Linked DNA regions of Arabidopsis thaliana. The protein of the gene in region 2 interacts with the protein of the main gene of each other region in a pairwise test. Each region holds a gene or a part of one and is shown on either strand. Other genes may lie near its edges. The genes, in order: CPSUFE, GrxC5, AT5G17560 and AT1G55805.

What was found.
Region 1: the proteins of GrxC5 (region 2) and CPSUFE interact in a two-hybrid assay, tested with the Arabidopsis thaliana proteins (one study listed by BioGRID).
Region 3: the proteins of GrxC5 (region 2) and AT5G17560 interact in a two-hybrid assay, tested with the Arabidopsis thaliana proteins (one study listed by BioGRID).
Region 4: the proteins of GrxC5 (region 2) and AT1G55805 interact in a two-hybrid assay, tested with the Arabidopsis thaliana proteins (one study listed by BioGRID).

What each region holds. Positions count from the first base shown.
Region 1 is NC_003075.7:13,381,056-13,385,486, forward strand, and holds CPSUFE (chloroplast sulfur E), read right to left. Parts: upstream 2,587-4,431; 5' UTR 2,517-2,586; coding exon 1,401-2,516; 3' UTR 1,143-1,400; downstream 1-1,142. Other genes in the region: AT4G26490 (Late embryogenesis abundant (LEA) hydroxyproline-rich glycoprotein family), read left to right, coding at 1-176; UKL4 (uridine kinase-like 4), read left to right, coding at 3,448-3,604, 3,707-3,798, 4,087-4,156. UniProt on the Arabidopsis thaliana protein: Participates in cysteine desulfurization mediated by NFS2 in chloroplast and NIFS1 in mitochondrion. Activates the cysteine desulfurase activity of NFS2.
Region 2 is NC_003075.7:14,196,686-14,201,720, reverse strand, and holds GrxC5 (Glutaredoxin family protein), read right to left. Parts: upstream 2,679-5,035; 5' UTR 2,548-2,678; coding exon 2,276-2,547; intron 2,102-2,275; coding exon 2,028-2,101; intron 1,480-2,027; coding exon 1,405-1,479; coding exon of another isoform or gene 1,397-1,404; exon of another isoform or gene 1,234-1,396; coding exon 1,207-1,233; intron 1,086-1,206; coding exon 1,009-1,085; 3' UTR 818-1,008; downstream 1-817. Other genes in the region: AT4G28740 (LOW PSII ACCUMULATION-like protein), read right to left, coding at 1-177, 396-670. UniProt on the Arabidopsis thaliana protein: Has a glutathione-disulfide oxidoreductase activity in the presence of NADPH and glutathione reductase. Reduces low molecular weight disulfides and proteins. Can assemble a [2Fe-2S] cluster, but cannot transfer it to an apoferredoxin.
Region 3 is NC_003076.8:5,786,177-5,790,884, reverse strand, and holds AT5G17560 (BolA-like family protein), read right to left. Parts: upstream 2,528-4,708; 5' UTR 2,412-2,527; coding exon 2,088-2,411; intron 1,753-2,087; coding exon 1,685-1,752; coding exon of another isoform or gene 1,681-1,684; exon of another isoform or gene 1,510-1,680; coding exon of another isoform or gene 1,491-1,509; exon of another isoform or gene 1,356-1,490; coding exon 1,214-1,355; 3' UTR 921-1,213; downstream 1-920. Other genes in the region: PEX19-2 (peroxin 19-2), read left to right, coding at 2,719-2,764, 2,892-2,931, 3,101-3,389, 3,698-4,014, 4,097-4,142.
Region 4 is NC_003070.9:20,857,547-20,861,445, forward strand, and holds AT1G55805 (BolA-like family protein), read right to left. Parts: upstream 1,938-3,899; 5' UTR 1,893-1,937; coding exon 1,410-1,892; 3' UTR 1,064-1,409; downstream 1-1,063. Other genes in the region: AT1G55800 (uncharacterized protein), read right to left, coding at 1-33; AT1G55803 (ferredoxin-fold anticodon-binding domain protein), read right to left, coding at 77-279, 509-689; UKL3 (uridine kinase-like 3), read left to right, coding at 3,727-3,868. UniProt on the Arabidopsis thaliana protein: May act either alone or in interaction with glutaredoxin as a redox-regulated transcriptional regulator, or as a factor regulating Fe-S cluster biogenesis. The glutaredoxin-BOLA1 heterodimers bind a labile, oxygen sensitive iron-sulfur cluster.

The DNA.
Region 1 (4,431 bases), 820 kb from region 2:
TCAGGAGACAGCTGGAAAACAACAAGATAGAATATGAGATTAGAGGTACCTTCAAAGTCAAAGCTCATTTTGGAATGATTCATTACTCTTATCAGCTGCACGGGAGGTGCCAACTTCAGATGACCGGTCCACCAACCGGAATCCTGATTTCTCGTAATTGCACGACGAAGAAATGAAAAAGAATACGGTACAGTTCTCTGAGTCAGTAGTCATCTTCAAAGTCTTTAGCTTTGGCATGTTTATTCAACTATATTTCTATTTGCTTACCCACAACTTGTATAAAAGAAAAAGACCTAGTGAACTCTATCCAAGAACCGAGATCGGAGTTTGTACTATTTCCAAGATAAAGAAACTGGAAAGATATTATCTTTCTATGAAGCAGATCCATAATTGATCCACAAGACACAGTGCCAAGACCAATGTTGTATTTTAATACAGTTCAACATACCTGAACCACCAGAGAAAAGAATTAAGACCAAAAGCAAAAGAGGTACAAGCATTAGATGCCTATGTTGGTTCCCTTTAGGACTTAAAGTAATCAAAATCAGTAAAACACACAAGAAGAAGCTTAACCATTTTTTAGCATATACCAACACAGAGGATTTTAATATTCAAAATCTCAACTTTGATCAAAAAAAAAAAAAAAAAAAAGATACAATGGTCTCAGGAAAGAAAAGTTGCAGAAATTGGTTGGCTAAAACCACAGCTGGTTTCACTAGACAGGTATGTAAAGCTGATTGTATATAAAACCCCACAAGTCTCAGCTAATGGGGCTTTAAGAAACATCACATGTCTAACGGTAGACTGAAACAGGGATCATCTGAAACTCCTTTCACATTTTTTACTTATTTTATCAGAAAGAAGTAAAGCAACCAAATCTCTTTCTTTTTTTCTGTAGTCCCTCAAACCAACTTGCATCACTTGATTAGACAATACCAACTTTGAGTATCTAGATTCTAGAAGAATTAAAAAATGAACAAGAAACTTCGCATGTCTAATGGTGGCATGAATATAGTACCATTTTTCTCCCCAAATTCCTTTTTCGCTTTCCCTAGGTGCTGTGATCTTTCTAACGATTCAAACTTAGCCAAATGGACAACAACCTTGAGCATTCTCTCTATTCATCTCTCAAAGCGTAGGTACAAAACTTAATATCAGGAAACCATATCAAAACAAAAAAGACCTTGACCCTCATAAGATAAAGGGAAATCAGTTTGAAAATGGTGAATCATGTGGCGATTGGCGAAAACATTATTTATATCCTTCAATATCTATCTCTCATTTAACACAATCCTGATCGAGCTCTTAACATTATTAGAAGGTCCAGAGAACAATATCCAAAGCAAATGGACCAAAAGAAGTAAAAGAATCAGGACCTGACTTCTTCCAATGTTACACCCTCAAACCTCAGCAGGAGTCTTTGCCACAATAGAGAGAGCATGTAACCCGCTCTTCAACTCATCTTGCAACAAGTCATATATCAGCCTATGTCTCTTGACCAAGCTTTTACCTTGGAAAGCATCCGAAACGATTCGCAAGTTGAAATGTGTTTCCCCATCATCACCAGCACTACCTCTAACAGCGGCATGTCCTGCGTGCTGGTAAGAAACATCTTCAACTTCTAACTCAACAGGATCTAGCTCCTTCTCCAATTTCTCTCTTATCCTCATCCCTCTACTCCCTAAAGCAACAACATTTGACCCACTCTCAGAATCATCAATCTTTTCTGTTCCCAAATCCTCAACTAGATCAGGTTTAGACTCCAAATCCACCTCCGGAACATTAGCTTCGTCCTTAGTCTCAGGAATAGACACAAAGCTGGATTCTGAACTCTCTCCAGAACTTGAATCTTCCTCACCTTTGACTTCCAAATGAAGAGCCTTTTTCTGCATCAGCTTAAGCATATTAAGTAATCCATTGTTTCTAGAAGGAGACAGACTCTGCTGCAACCCGAGAAGAACAGCGAAATCAGGTGTTATCCTCAAAATCTCAGGGACAGGTCTTCCAGATAAACCCTTGACTAATAGAGCAGCTAACCCTTTAGTGAGAACCGAATCAGAATCAGCTTCATACACAACATTACGTTCCTCATCAAAGAAAGCCCTAACCCAAACCTGAGAAACACATCCTTCTACTTTATTCTCCCTCGTCTTGAATTGAGAATCGAGAGGTGTCAGATTCTTCCCGTAGAACATAAGCTGCTCGTATTTAGCCTTTGGCTCTTGTACCGATTGGAAAAGCTTGACGATCTCTTGTAGCTTCGGTGGAAGCTCTTCGATTGGTTGAAGGTCTCCATAGCTCGACGGAGATGATGAAGCCGATGGTGGAGGAACAATCCCGGTTGAAATTTTCTGGAAAGTGATGATCGTCCGGCGAAAGGAAGGAACTTCCGACGGTTTTAGTGGTCGTAGAAGAAGGGTTTTGGCCGGATAATGGATTGAAGAAAACAAGGTCCGTTTGAATGGGATTAAACGAAGCGAGGAAGCGCAACAAGAAGAAGACATCGCTGCTGCCATAGTCGCGAACTTGAAACTTCGAGAGAGACTGAGATGATGATGAAAGCTCTCCTTCTTCACTTTTTCTGAGTCAAAAACCAATACCGCCAATTAGGTAGTAACCGGGAATTAAACCGGGAATGTACCAAAATCCAAAAATTAGATGTAAAATCAATTGTGGGGTTGATTATGAATAATTAGAAAGTATACGACTCTTTTCATAAATAAGGAAAAGAAAAAGATATCTAGATTTTTTTTGTTTTGTTTTGAAGCATCGTCTTCCTGGTTCTTCGTTCTCTTGCGTTCGTCACCTCAAACACGTCCGCCATTATTATATATCAAATCAATCATGTCCGAATCCAGCTTTTACCAATGTAAGCAATTAAATTAAATTAAATAAAAACACTTTTATCAAATTTAATCAAATTAAAAAACTGTCCCTTTCTTATCTGAGATTCTATTGTTTCTGTCTACTTCCACAGAAAGAAACTGCATCTCCGTTTTTTTTTCTGATTTGAGGCTTTCCTTAGATCCTTGAGAGCAAAACTGAATCTGGGTAATTTTAAAAATCTCATTTTTACGACTTATCTCTTTTGAACGATCTGTTTTTTCATGTAAGTACGATTTCACCTCGAGATGATCGATCATTGCTCTTCTGGTTCTTCCATGTTTGATTAAATGTTATAACTTGAGGGTTTTGTTTCTTTTGGATTGTTCTCGCATTTGTTGATCTATGGTTATCAAAAGAGTTTGGATTTACAGTTTTTGGTTGCAGCTGAAATTTTTCACTCTTTTCTTCTCTGTTTTGCTGGATAAAGTTGGATTTGATTCACATTGTTGTTTAGAATCTAGATGAAGTTGTAAGATTCCTTGTATTGTGTTTGCTTATGCATGATTGTGATAAAGATTTAAGTTATTTTACCAATGTACAATGTCCAGAATTGTCGTCGGGATGGGTTCTAAGTCCGTTGTTGACATGATCGAAGCTGCCTCGCGGGCACATTTTTCTGGTTTACACGTGAATGGGCACATGAATGGGTTGGAACCAAGTGCACTTAAGGAAACCACTTCTGCATCAGAAGATATCCAAAGACAGCCTTTTGTAATAGGTGAGTTCTGCTTTTGCTTTCATTTTTGATTAATATATGGTCGTGGATAAAAAAAGCTTGACGAATGGTCTTGATTGATATGTTGTGACTTGAATTGGTTAGGTGTTGCTGGAGGCGCAGCATCGGGAAAGACTACTGTTTGTGATATGATAATCCAGCAACTGCACGATCAGCGTGTTGTACTTATTAACCTGGTAATTTTGTTTTGCTAATAAAGTTTCATAGAGCTAAGTGATAACCACCGGTTTGATTTGTGTTTCGAATGTATATGAAGTCAATTGAATTCCACACAATTTAGAGATCTAAAAGGAGAATATTACCAGCTAATAACTTATATATGGCTGAAGTTTAACATTGTTCAACCTTGTCACCATTGTTTAGATATTTATGTCAGTCTATTTATCTAATTCTCAAATTCCTTTGGCATCATGATAAACCACAAATTGCTCGACTTAATATCCTATGATAATGATTTTTGGCAGGACTCGTTCTATCATAATCTGACTGAAGAAGAACTTGCTAGAGTTCATGAATACAACTTTGATCATCCAGGTGAGAATATATTTGGAGTGTAATTGCTTTCTGTAATCTACTCTTGTCAATACATAGTGTCATCAGGAGTAAAAAATCTTTCCTAGCTTCTTTGGCCATTTTTTTTTTTTTTATAATACTTCTTTGGGATAATTAAGGCATAACTAACAGCCATATTATTCAGTGATATCTTACTAATTGATGTATTCTCTTTTATTAAAGCAATTTCATCCCTGACAGCACATTACTAGTTGCTGGGAGTTATGAGAAAAAGTCTTGTGCATTACTCTTTGTCA
Region 2 (5,035 bases):
AAACCCTTAACGATCTCAAGAACTTCACCTGATCTAGCCGGATTCGCCAGGGCACCTATGAGCCTAGAAGTGGCTATTAGTCCTCCTAATGAACCGCTTGCTATAAAGGCGAGGTAGAAGAACATACGGACTGATCTGAACGGAGACAGAACCTCACTACGGATTCTAGCATCAGCACTGAAACCATAAACAGAGATAACTTAGCTGTGACATTACACAAGGTGTGAGATAACATTCTTGCATTCAAAGTTTTAACCTTTCATCATGTCAATGAGCATAAACCTACCAAGTACTAAAATTGATTCAACAACGACACAGATAGAACCTAAACCATAATTCATTCAAATCTAAAGACGAACCCCAATTTAATAAGGTTAGAAGAAGTCGAAGTTTACCTGATTTCGGAGGGCTCGTCTGCGGCAAAACACACGGTGTTGAAAGACAAAGGTTGCTGCTTTCTAGTTATTGTCAATCTATGGTTTCTATGAGAAAAATCGAGTCTTTCTCTGTGATTATGACGGGAAATTCTACGATGAGAGTATGATTCTTTTGCCTGATAAAGAGCTTGTTTACTAATATGACAATGGTAGATGTAAGTTTGAGACGAGACCAGAGTAGCCATTGGTCTCGCTAGATTCTCTGCAACTTCCCCTGTTTCAGAAGATGACATCTCTTTTCAGTTTGGGATCATTTTTCACTCTATTGACCTGTGATCCTAAACTTGCCACGCTTCTCTCTGATTTTGGATTTTCTAGAATATATATTAGGCCACTTTTTTCCTTCTTTATTTATCAGCCTGGGATTGGTAATATTTGGATTACTCTGAAGGCTTGAAAACTGTGAATTCAAGTGGTGAAAAACAAAGAGAGATCAACAATTACATGATATGTATATGTTATTTATTAACTATAATTATTGTATTCAAATGAGGTACAATGATAATAACAAAAATGAGAAAACTTTCCAAGCTCCGTATGCAAAAATCTCCGAACCAGTTTCAACATCTCCTCAACTCTGACCGTTTTTACCGTTGGCTTCAGCTAACATCAGTTCCAGATCTCCTTTCCTGTTAAGCTTCACTGTATCTGTAGCACAAGAACAAGAAGATAATGCCAATAGTTGAGTGAAACAATATCCAAAACTGAGGCATCTCACATTTGAGAAGTAGAAGAAACCAAAGAGGTGAGAAGAGAAGGAGGAAAGTACCTGTGCAGCCACCAATGTGCTTGCCACCTGCTCATTAGGACAAAGATTAGACACTGTTATGACTAGCTATTAACTGAAACTATGTTGTTCACTTCTTTGGGACATCTAAAGGTTTCATCTTTTGAAGCAGGTAGGATATATAAGGAAAACAGAGTTTCAATGAAGATATGATCGATGTAAACGGATTAAACTACTTACATACGAAAACATTAGGAACAGTGTGTTGCCCAGTAAGTCTTTCCAGTACCTTCTGCAGTTGTGGCCCTTGTGGACCTGAAATTAACCAAACATAGTTTAGTCAAACAGAACTTTAGATAGAACATAACAAATCATTCTTTGTTGTCCAAAATCACCAAACATTTTGACAATTGCATCTTCAACTGTTCTCAAAGAGAGAGACACATTTACTTTTATGATATATACAAGTATGGACTAGTGAGAAACAAAAGCAGGTTACAACAAATATCAAAGGCAAACAAGAATCCCCAAAATGTACATTTTCAACCCAATGGTCCAGAAAGAAAAGTTAAAGATAAACATGTAAACTCATTCGAATCTGAAAAACTAAATCACTCAGAAGGTAAACAAGACTTGCATTCTTTCAACGAGTCTAAATGCCACAACATAAACTAGAATAGTAATATGCATATGTAACCAAAATCTAAAGGTTAAAGGCAATACTAATGGATACTTTTAAAAACTAACAAGCATTACCTCATCATCTATCTAAAGCCATGATATAGTATTATCATGATCAAATCAATTACTCAAGCTAAGCTATGGAAAAAAAAGATAGAAATGTTAAGGAAATGCAAACATACCAAGTTGATCCAATTCAACAACCAGTGGCTGAACCCCAAGTCTCTTGAACAATGTCTTCACTTCAGTACAGTATCTTCAATACACACCAAACACCAACAAATTATCAACAGAAACATTAAGATCTGAATAACAGTAAAAACGAAAATTTACAAGGATATTTGATAAACCCATTCTCCAATTAAGCAAAAAGAAAGAAATAAAACAAATCCTAATTAAAACTGATAACGAAAGAGAGTAGTGAACATACGAGCACCAAGTTTTGGAGTAAATAACGACAGTGTTCTCAGTCACTGTTTTCCTAATACTCTCTTCCATTCTCGATCCAAAGGACGAAGAAGAAGACGATGCAGCCGAAGAAGAAGAAGTCATAGCTCGAACAGAACATGACTGCTTTAGACATCTCTTGTAAGGAGATCCGACATATATCAGAGAGAAGGAATAAGAAGAACAAGAGACTGAAGGAATCGGATCTAGAGACGACGATACAAGTTTCAATGTGTTAAATGCTGTGACTGCCATGGCGATTTCTGCGACAGATTCTTGGAGCTTCTTCTTCTTCTTCTTCTTTGCGTGCTATGCTAATTTGTCTCGTGACGTGACTTGTCCTCTTTTCCCATTTTTCTTTTATTAAATTAAAAAGCTAAATTTTCGTGACCAACAAAAAAAATCTGAATTTTTGTTATTCTAATACTTAATGGGCCTATACTATTACTAATGGGCGTTTTCTTCTCTGAAAAGTATTCGTGGTTCTGGGCCTAATAGGCTTTATAAGACTTGAAAACAAATCATATCTCACTCATCATGATATCATACAAGATGAGATGAAAGATGAATTATTTTGAAGAAACATGTTACGAATCTCACATAAGAAATATCATGAAATTAATAATAATAACTAAGTAACATAAGTCAAGCCATTCATTTCAATTGATTTTGAATTGAAAGCTATTAAACTTACTATAACCATTCACCAATGATATCTAAATTGCATTGGGTCTATGATTTGTTTGGCAAGTTTTGTCATTTTACACTTAAAGGCCATATAACAAAATTCGTGAGAAATTTATGATATCGAAAACAACTCATCCATGGACCTACGTTTGATAAGATCATGTGGGGACTTTTGACTAGTTGTAACGTCATGGGTTCGAATTATTTCATTGTTTCTCCAATTTGTTTTTGTCCATATCCCACCAACATTTTCTTCATTCATTTATAAGCCCAAATCTTTGTTGCATTGACATACATAAATATATGCACACATACATGTATTAAATATTATATACATGCACCACACAAAACATAACTCATTTTAATTATAAACAATTATATTATAAAACTGACTAAAAGAATTGGCAAGTACTCTCATTTGTACAAGTTCCTAGTGTTGTCTGTGTCCATCCATGCGTGTATGAGTAAATACTAACGATTGGTACAAATCAAACACTTAAGAAAATTCAGATATTCGTATCCAATCTGTATCCGAGCGAATGATCTAAATATCTATTTCTTTTTAATTATTTTAGGCATTTACATATGTGGAATTTCGGAATTCTTCTACACAACTCAAAAATAATGTATTAAGCTAGCTAGTTAAGGTTTGTATTTGCTTACAAAATCTAATGATAAGAAAAAATATTGTGTAAGAAATTTTACACAGAAATATCAAATTTCTAAATACTAGAAACATTATAAATATTATACATAATCAGAATGAATCTCTAGCCGGATTGGAACTAAAATGCCCATACTATATATATATATGTGTGTGTGGGGTTGCAGGTACATAAAAAGGGATATAGAGATATGGGTACAGTAGTGTTCCATTCGAAACTTTACCATCCCAATGATTAAATCCAGTACATTCGAATTATTTTTTCTTTACGTACATATTTGAGTATATATAAGAACTAAAACTTGATAAACTATAAACAAATTACATTAAAGAAAAAAAAAACTTGATGAGCTTGTATAGTTAGTTACTTGATAGAGAAGTACTAGTTCCTACTTTTATAACATACATTGTCTATTATTTATTTGATTACGTATCTATCCTAAACTTTGGACTTGGAAAATTGACTTATACGTAAATGAAATCTTTGAAAATTGTTTGTGGTAAATACAAGTGTTTGTTGGTTTCTTCTTTCTTGTGTTTAGTGTAGAGGAATATATTTTTTTTCTTTTCACGAGAGGTAGTTCATCTAACAGACATAGGCATGTGAAAGGAACAAACCCTAGTTTTTGCAGACTTTGGTAATGTGTAAGATGAACAATGTGGACCCTTGAACATGAGTGATTTCTCCACTGCAGAATTTGTGACCATTCGCATGTGTTACCCATTTACTCTTTGTCACTAATATCTTCAAAGCAGCTCTCAAATCATTTTGACCCATTTATATATACTAATTAATCAAAAGTAGATTCAAATAAGACCTAAATCTAACTCTCACGATAACGATTTTCGATAAAAATTTTTAATCCAAAAAGTAATTATTTTTTCGGATATAATCAATTTTTTGAGGTATTTTTTGGGTTAATCTGATAGTCAAAGTAGACCGTATTTTATTTGAAAAACAATAAGAATTTGGTCGAAATATGTAAAATTGGTGTGATTGACAACTTTTAAATCAAAGTCGTATGAAATCTTGTTACGCAATTTCGTAAAAAAGAAAAGTAAATGGCACTGTAAATGTATATTGACGCATATCTACCTATGTGATAGATTTCTAGCTAGCTAAATATTCACAACCAGACCACATAACTAGAATCCAAGATGATGCCTATCTAGCTAGGATTTTTGCCAAGGTGATGAAAATAGATTGAGAATAAGTGTGAATGTGAGATGACAAGTGACAAGTATGGCAAAAACAAAGAAGAAAGCAAAAAGATAATGGTCACTCAAATTCAACATCTCACCTTGTAGTTTCTAAATAGGTAACATGCGGTGAGGGTACATGAGGCTAAATGATCACTCCTCCATGGGTTTTGAAATAGACTTTTCACGGTG
Region 3 (4,708 bases), on a different chromosome or scaffold from region 2:
ATCCGGTTCCACCTTCAGGTCCATCAAGAAGACATAACTTGCCAAGGAGAGCTCAATTTTCCTATGAAAAAGCTCAACTTTCCTATGAAAAACCGTCCGGGCCTAATCGCCGTCATTGCCGCGAGAACTAATACCAAGGTGAAACAAAGCTGCTTAAGAATATTCATGTAGTATCTTCTACACATACATATATATGTGTTCATAGTAAAATGAAGGAATGAACATAGTGTGTTTTCGCACACTGTTCATTCTTCATTTTCTCCTTTTCACTTCAAGACCTTGTAAAATATCAAAATCATTATGTGAAAAAAAACATGTGATGGGTTGTGGACCTTGTGGTAGTATCTATAACAACTATGTTTTGTAAATACCAATCATAATGTGAAAAAAAACATGTGATGGGTTGTGGTAGTATAGTATCTATAAAACCTATGTTTGTCTACTTGTAATAATTGGAGTTAAATGAACTTATGTTTCCAAGTTGTAACAATATGAGTGTTTTCTTTTTTTACAAAACAACATTATGTTTCTAATGATGGTATAATAACCGATAACAAAAAAAAAAAAACTGTTAATCCATGTAGCTAAAGTAAAGATATGGGAATTTGAGCAGATGGACTAGTTGTAACCATTATTAAGTGTTGCTACTACTGATATAAACGATTTTTGTCTAGTTGATGGCTAATACGGTTCCCAAATCAACCATAGTAGTTCAATATTCAGTTATTCACTATTCATGCATGTAACATGTATATAAAAGCAACAATCATATTATTATAAATCTTACAATTTTCATTGCAAAAAACTTTTCAGTTTTGAATTGATACGTTTCCATGCATACATATAATTTTTATGACCACAAATATATTTTAATCTATTTATCGACTAAATTTTTTTTTTTGAAATGATAACATTAGCTAGTAGAGAATAAAGTTTATTTTGAAGATAATCCGCCACCACAAACGCTAATTTTGTTCTTATTCATTTAGAGCGATTGAAAACGCCAAACACGTGTAACCGCAAACCGCAAACGCTCCAACACTTAACATGTGTTGGCGGGTTGCAAGAGAACCAATCAAAGTACTTAAAAAATAACCAAAAGCTGTATATCAGTTCCTTTTGCTTTTTTCTTTTTGATAAAACAAACAGCATTGTCAGCTAATCAAATAATATAAGATATTGAAGCCTTTTAGAGTTCGGAAAATTTAACGCTTCAAACTTCAGAAGGAGTCTTTGTTGTCATTTGATCAACGGCATGAACAACGTTCTGAAGCTCTTCCCAAATGGCTTTGTAGACCATCCTTTGTCTGTTCACTGCAGATTGTCCCTCAAAAGCCGATGATACCACATTGATGCTACAAATATTAAGCAAAACTGGTATTAAGTAACAGAACCATCTAATATGACAAGTTAAAGTAAGAATCTATGACTGGATTCCATCAAGAGCAGAAGAATAAGTACTAACTTATATCCCAACTTTGATGATTCTACTACTTGTTGAACCTGAAACTTTTTTGTGATTAAAATGAAAGAAAAGGAATCTCAAAATATGAATTTATCTATATATCTAACAAACTTCACTAAACACTATCCATAACAGTGATAACACACATCTGCAACTTCACTCAAGTGTAATAAAGAATCATCATTGGAAGACAAAAATGAGTTAAATCAGAGTACTTACCAGACATGACGTCCATCTCCAGACATATCCGTTACAGTAACCGACTCTGCATTCAATTGTTCTTTGATCTGCAAATGAAGCCAAAACCTCATAAGTAGAGAGACATGTGTTGATAAATCGAAAAAAAGAATCGTTTGCTTCAATCATATAAGTAAGAGACATGATTCCTCATTAATTATCTTAGCTTAGTGATCTTGATCATTTTGGAGCTACTGAGAGCAATCGTGTTGCCAATACCAAGTTTCCATCAACTAAATATGACACATGTTGCCAATACCAAGTATCCAATCAATTCCTTCAAAAATTCACTAATAATACTATAACCTATAAATTGAATTGACACTGAAACATACACAATGAATCAATTTCACTGAAATTAGTTAATGAGGTATAAAAATCCAACCTTTAGCTCCATGGATTGCATAAGGGTTTGATCAATAGAACCAGCATCATTGATTTGAGAGGATTTAGTACTGAAATTAAGGCTGCGAATGTCCAAAGCACCAAACCCAGAAACCCTAGAAACTCTATTGCCGTAAATCGACGACGGCGCAGTCTCTTTACGAGACAAAACGGCGCTTACACATCTCGAGTTAGTGAATCTCACGAGAGGAGCTGAGAATGAAGCGAAGGGTCTCTTTGAAGATTGAAAAAGGCGATAAAGACTCGCTCTTGTGGAAGAGAGAAGAACGTACGGACGAGTTGTCGCCATTAATGTCTGCGCCATTGCTTGAGAGACTTGCGAGTAAAAAAAAAAAAAATGTTCTGTGGCAATGTCGTTGGTTCTTGAAAAAATGGGCTTACGACACAACACAGTTAAACTTAATGGGCTTTCGTGGTTTCAAGTCATTTTAAGATTTTAATAATATAATTCTTTAATGGAAATAATGTCAGCCGTTGGATCGAATCCTGAACTTGATCAATTGAACAACACCGCCTTTGGAAATTTGTTTCTCTCTTCAATGCGATAATTCTCTCTTCCTCTTCGAATTTTGTGAGTTTCTTCGAGAGTTGAGGAAGAGAGACTCGAGAATATGGCCAACGATACTCACACCGATGACTTAGACGAGCTTCTCGATAGTAATAATTTCCTAACGAATTTTAATTTGATTTGATAACATGTTCACCAATTCTAGGTGATTGGTGAAAAACGTTTTTGTTCTTGTGGGTTCGTTTTCTATAATTTAGAATTCTGGGTCTTTCTCAGGTGCCTTGGATGATTTCAAGGATCTTAATCTTACTCAAAGGTTACTCCTTTTTCTCATAATCTCTGTCTCTCTCTAATTGTATCTATGCCACGTGGTTAGATTACTTAGCTCTAGAGTTTTGAGATTGTGGTTACATCAATACTAAATTAGAGGTTCTGTTATGTTTTTGGTGGGAATTGTGGTGTTGATTAGCTTTGGATTTATGTAGAAATGGAGGGGTTAAGAAAGAAGAGGGTGATAAAAAAGAGACAGAGTCATTGCCAAGTGGGGTTCAAGGTCTTGGAATGGGGTTACCAGATATGAGGAGTAAGAAGAAAGGAAAGAAAAAGATTGCTAAAGAGGACCATGTTACTGAGGCACTTGATAAACTCAGGGAACAAACTAGAGAAACTGTGAAGGGACTTGAGTCCTTGTCATCGAAGCAGCAACCTACAGGTTCTGATGATGCTATGGTTGAAGATTGGATCAAGCAATTCGAGAATCTTACTGGGTCTAACGTAAGTATACACAAACTGAGTTGTTACTTCTTGCTATACTTATCTAGTTTAATGTTCTCTTTATCTTCAAGTTCTCTGATTAGATTAGATTACTAAAGTTTCATCTAGTTAAGGTTGTTGCAGAGTAGTAACACATGTTGCAAAGTAGTTTTGAAGGCTGTGTTAATAGTAGTGATACTGATACTAATATCGAAAAAACCACAATTGAAGATGAGAATTAGTTTGCAGAACCATTTGAAAGTAGTCTTGATCACTAGAAGTTTTGTTTTTATGATTTCTCATTTCATAATTTCCATGTTTTTGTTTAGGACTTGGAGTCGATAGTGGACACGATGATGCAACAGCTGTTATCGAAGGATATTCTTCACGAACCAATGAAAGAGATTGGTGCAAGATACCCAAAATGGCTAGAAGAGCATGAATCCAGTCTAAACAAGGAAGAATTCGATCGTTATTCACGCCAGTATGAACTTATCAAAGAACTCAACTTGGTGTACGAGAACGAACCAAACAATTCGACCAAGATAATGGAGATAATGCAGAAGATGCAAGAGTGTGGACAACCACCGAGTGATATAGTGCAAGAGATGGATCCTGGCTTTGATTTCGCTAGTCTGGGCCAAATGTAAGTCTTCTTCCTTATTGGAATCTCTGTGATCTTTAAAGACCCCAAGGTGACTAAGTTTTGTATATATATATGTTCACAGGTCTCCGGACATGCTCGAGTCTTCACCAAATTGTTGTGTAATGTGAGGGAAGAAACAGGTTTTAGAAAACTGTTTGGCCTTGTCCAGCCATTGAAGAATGGAGAACATGTTTTTGTTTCTCTTGTGCATTGTACAATGCAAAGCTTGTTTAAGTTCTTTTTTTTTTCTTACCTGAATACCAAAGTTATTGGGTTTCGGTTCTTGTTCCTTTTGGTTAGTTCTGTTTTGGAATAATTTTGAATCTCTACACACAAATTCATAAATTCACTGAAACATAAACGTGCTCTTCATCCAATTCATTTCGGCTGTTCAATAAATGAAGTGTCCTATGTAAGGTTTGTCACGTCAAATCAAAAGAGGAAAGAGCCAAAGAGGCATTGCATCATAGTCTCATGGGTTGGCTGAATTTTCGGTCCTATACTAGTTGGAATCTCAACTTTTCACTCTAAACTTTTAGCCACTTAAAAAACCATCATAAAAAACTTTAATCTCGATAAAACTACACATACTTTCGGATTTGTTCTTAAAACTATGCCTCCAATTGAACCGACCAGTTAACTGATAATTTTTCATCCGGTTTGACTTAACCAGAATTTAATCAAAATTAATCCG
Region 4 (3,899 bases), on a different chromosome or scaffold from region 2:
ATTCCTCAAAGTTGCAGCAGCTGGTCTACACATTCAACTGCGAGAAGAAAGTGTTTGTAATTTCAAAATGTTGAACTTACTGTATTTGACAGGGATCAGACTCTTTCCTGTGGAAACCGGTGTGCGGGAAGTTGAAGATGACACGATCGAATCTTCTATAACGAAGATCAGGATGAAAATGCAGTGTGGTAGCATCAACTCCATGTAAAAGGAAAGCTCCAAGTCTCTTCAATGTTTCAAGATTTGATCTTGCATTCTTGTATTTTCTAACCACATCATCTGGTTTAATTACCATAAAAGACATGCAACAACTGAGGAAATCGAGCTTAAAGCTGCAACCTTTGTTAACAGGTTTATAATCTATAAACAGAGAGTAAAACAGTGTAAATCTTGAATAATCAAATCATTCACCGGAAGTTCAAAAACTTAGTAAGTGATCACAGAAATGGAAGTGATAACGAAATCAAAACCTTAATAACTCTTACAATGTAAGTAAACCAAGTGTTACCGTATGAATCGAGAGAGGAAGCATAGATATTGGAAGCAGAGCCGAAGCAAGTGGCTAAGCTGCAAGAGAAGGAGAAATCTCCTTCGCCTACGAGAAGTATCTGGTGCTTGGATGAATAGTGTTTGACCCACACTTCTTCATCACCGTCTCTGTCTCTGTTAAGCTCCGAGAGCTCCCTCATCGCCAATGTAGTGAAAATGATGATAGTTTGGAAAGTTGTTTTTTTTTCGTTTTATTTATCTTCGGACATATACTAACGTAACTTGCTCTGTTGATGTATAGAAGAGGGACGGTTTAGCTTCTCCAGACAATGGAAATGACGATTCACTTTACCCACAAAAGAAAAAGGTGATCACTGATTAGATTTGGTTTAAGCCCATAAAGTACATATATTTGTTGCTAAAGGAAGGTGACATGGACTATTGGAAAAGGCGTTTTGTTTCTAGCGTTAGCGATTAGAAGACGCAAACGCCATTGATGACAATGGGAGAATAATCTGAAGAAGAAAGAGACAGAAACATGGAAAAACAACCCTTTTGGCTCCAAGCTAACAAACACGGCACAATCGAGCTTCCTTTGAGAATTCAAACACATGACCATTGATTGGACTTTCAACTAAATGGAGCCTTAATTCAATTCATCAAGCTATGACCATTATAGTTTTGAATGCTAGAAAAGACAGAACTCGAATTGAACTAAAAGCAAGTGTCTTTGTTCCAACACACAATTCCAGAAACACCAACACACAACCTCAAGCGTATGTAAAAATGAAGACTTTGGCTCCGCAATAAATTCCAAAACAGAGCACTTTGATGGTAAAAATTCAATCTTTGAATCGAACAGAGTTTGATGAGAAACTCTGATAACAGAAACAGAAGATACATTAAACAGTACCAGTACACTAGTCTTTAGAAGGAGACTCAGACGGCGTCTTGGAGACGATAGAAAGAGCGTGCAATCCAGTATCCAACTCTTCCCGGAGCAAATGATAGACCAACCTGTGTCTCTTCACCAAATTCATTCCCTCGAATCCTTTAGAAACGATCTTCACATTGAAATGCGTCTCATCGTCGGTTCTACCTTTCATTCCGGCGTGACCAGCGTGCTGATACGAAACATCTTCGATCACTAACTCCACTGGTTCGAGCTCTTTTTGAAGCTTCTCTCTCATCCTGCTCGCTCGATTCTCTATTGCTCCAGAATCCGACCCGGTTTTCTCAACGCTGCTCATTGCTACGGATCTTGAACCAGTTCCCGTCGATTTTGACTCAGAGTTGAAGAATTTAGGTACGGAGATGAAGACGCTCGGAGAATTTACCGGCGATTTTAGGGGTTGAGTCCGGTGGAACCCAGATACGATTAACCTAATCGAAGATGAAAACATTGCCACTGTCGAAGAAACTCGAAACTATATTAGACGCTGTCGTTTTGTCAGCTTATCATCTTCACGAATCTACTATTAGAGGCGTTATTTGCATTAAGGTCCACAAATTTTCAAATATAATAACATCACCCCACATTTGTGAGAAAAAAATTACAAAAAAACAAACAAACTCTAAAAGTGTATCGAAACACCCTCATACTTCTTCACATTTGTGTGAGAAATCAAATAACAAATACATTCGAAAAATGTTTGTGTATATGATTTAATATTTTTTTGGTGTGGTTAAAAAACTTAAGACATAATTAAGTAATAACAATTTACAATTGTAACGTGGATATTTTTTGAAATGTTGATTTATGACCAAAATAGTATTAGATGAATTCTCCAAGAAGATCATGGTATGATAAGAATAAGATGGTATAGTGCTAAAACATACCCAAAACTGTAATCAGTTTTTGAAGTAAAGGCAATATCTTTGATTTGGGTAATAGTTTGTTTCGATAATTTTGGATGTACAAAATTAATTTTTAAAGTGGTTCTAAGCTGCTCATCCAAATTTTTTAAGGATCCTAATCTCTGGTCTAAACTTCATTAATGAATCATAAAAAAATCTACGGAACTAAAAGAAGAAATTGATTATATCCTTCAAATTTTATAGACAAACAATCGTGCAGATTAAATTGTAAATATGCTAATTTTGTTCCTGTGTATAATATTTTACATTGTAGCATCCTTTGGTAGTGTAGATGTTGAGAAAACTAATATTAATTGGTAAATTATATATTTCGAAAAACAAAATTCAGGTAAATAGATTTGGAGGAAACATATGAAGTTAAAATGTTATGGATAAAAACAGAATAAACAAATTATTGTAGACGTAATCCAAAATAGTATAAAATAAATAATTTTGCAGTAACGTAAGATTGCATTCGACCACACGCATCTATATCACTGCGTTTTTAGCTGCAGCTTTCGATAGTAGGTCCTACATCCTATTCGGATCTGACGTGGATCCTTGATCACACTCTCTACTTTAGGGACTCAAACACTCTCACATTTACGAGAATTGCCACTACCACGTCCCTCAGTGGGAAGGGTACTTTCGTAAAACCAAAAAAACCACTTTCCGGTTTCCGCAAAAACCCGTCACCGCCGCTGCATCCTCCCTTCATTCTTTTCTCTCTTTCAACGCATATACATACACTTATATACGTTATCAATATATTTTATTTTTAATAAGTCCAGTTTTTGTCTGTGCATCGAGTTTAACAGGCAATGCTCGTGTCTCTCTCTCTTTATATGTTTAGATTCTTTATCTGGAACTTGGAAGCTCTTTTGTTAGCTATATCTAATCGGTGATCTCGAAGCTTATTCAATCCCTCTTTCTTTTTTCGTGAGTTTTTATCTTCATGTTGATTCGGTTTATATTGGTTTATATGATGATGAAACGTTTCTTATAATTCTTTTGCATGTATTGATCTAAAAAAATCTAGCTTTCTTCTCTTCTGATCTCTGTTTTCTTTTTGTTCTTTCCCTTTTTTACCCGGGAAAAAGTTACGGTTTCATGTTTAGGATTGGCGTTACTATTATCTGGTGGCCTATCATGATTGGTTGATTGTTTTGTGTGTTATACTGGATTTGAGAAAATGGGTATCACGGCATTGGCACTTGTGGCATCTAACTAATATCACTAAAAAGTTTGATTCTTTTGAGGAATTGTTTTTTGACTGGAAAGTGTTCCTTTTTGTTCCTGGATGGTGACAACAAAGGTAGCTTTGCTTTCCTTATTGGCATATTTCATGTGAATTTAGATTTGCATATTTGTGTTGTAGGAATGGCTTCAAAGTCGGATGTGAATATAATAGAGACATCCTCAAAGGTTCATTTCTCAGGATTTCATCAAATGGATGGTTTAGCTTCAAATAGACCAGAGCAAATGGCTGAGGAAGAAGAACATGGTCAACCTTTTGTGATCGGTGAGAGTCGTGGTGGATTTTAGTTTACCAA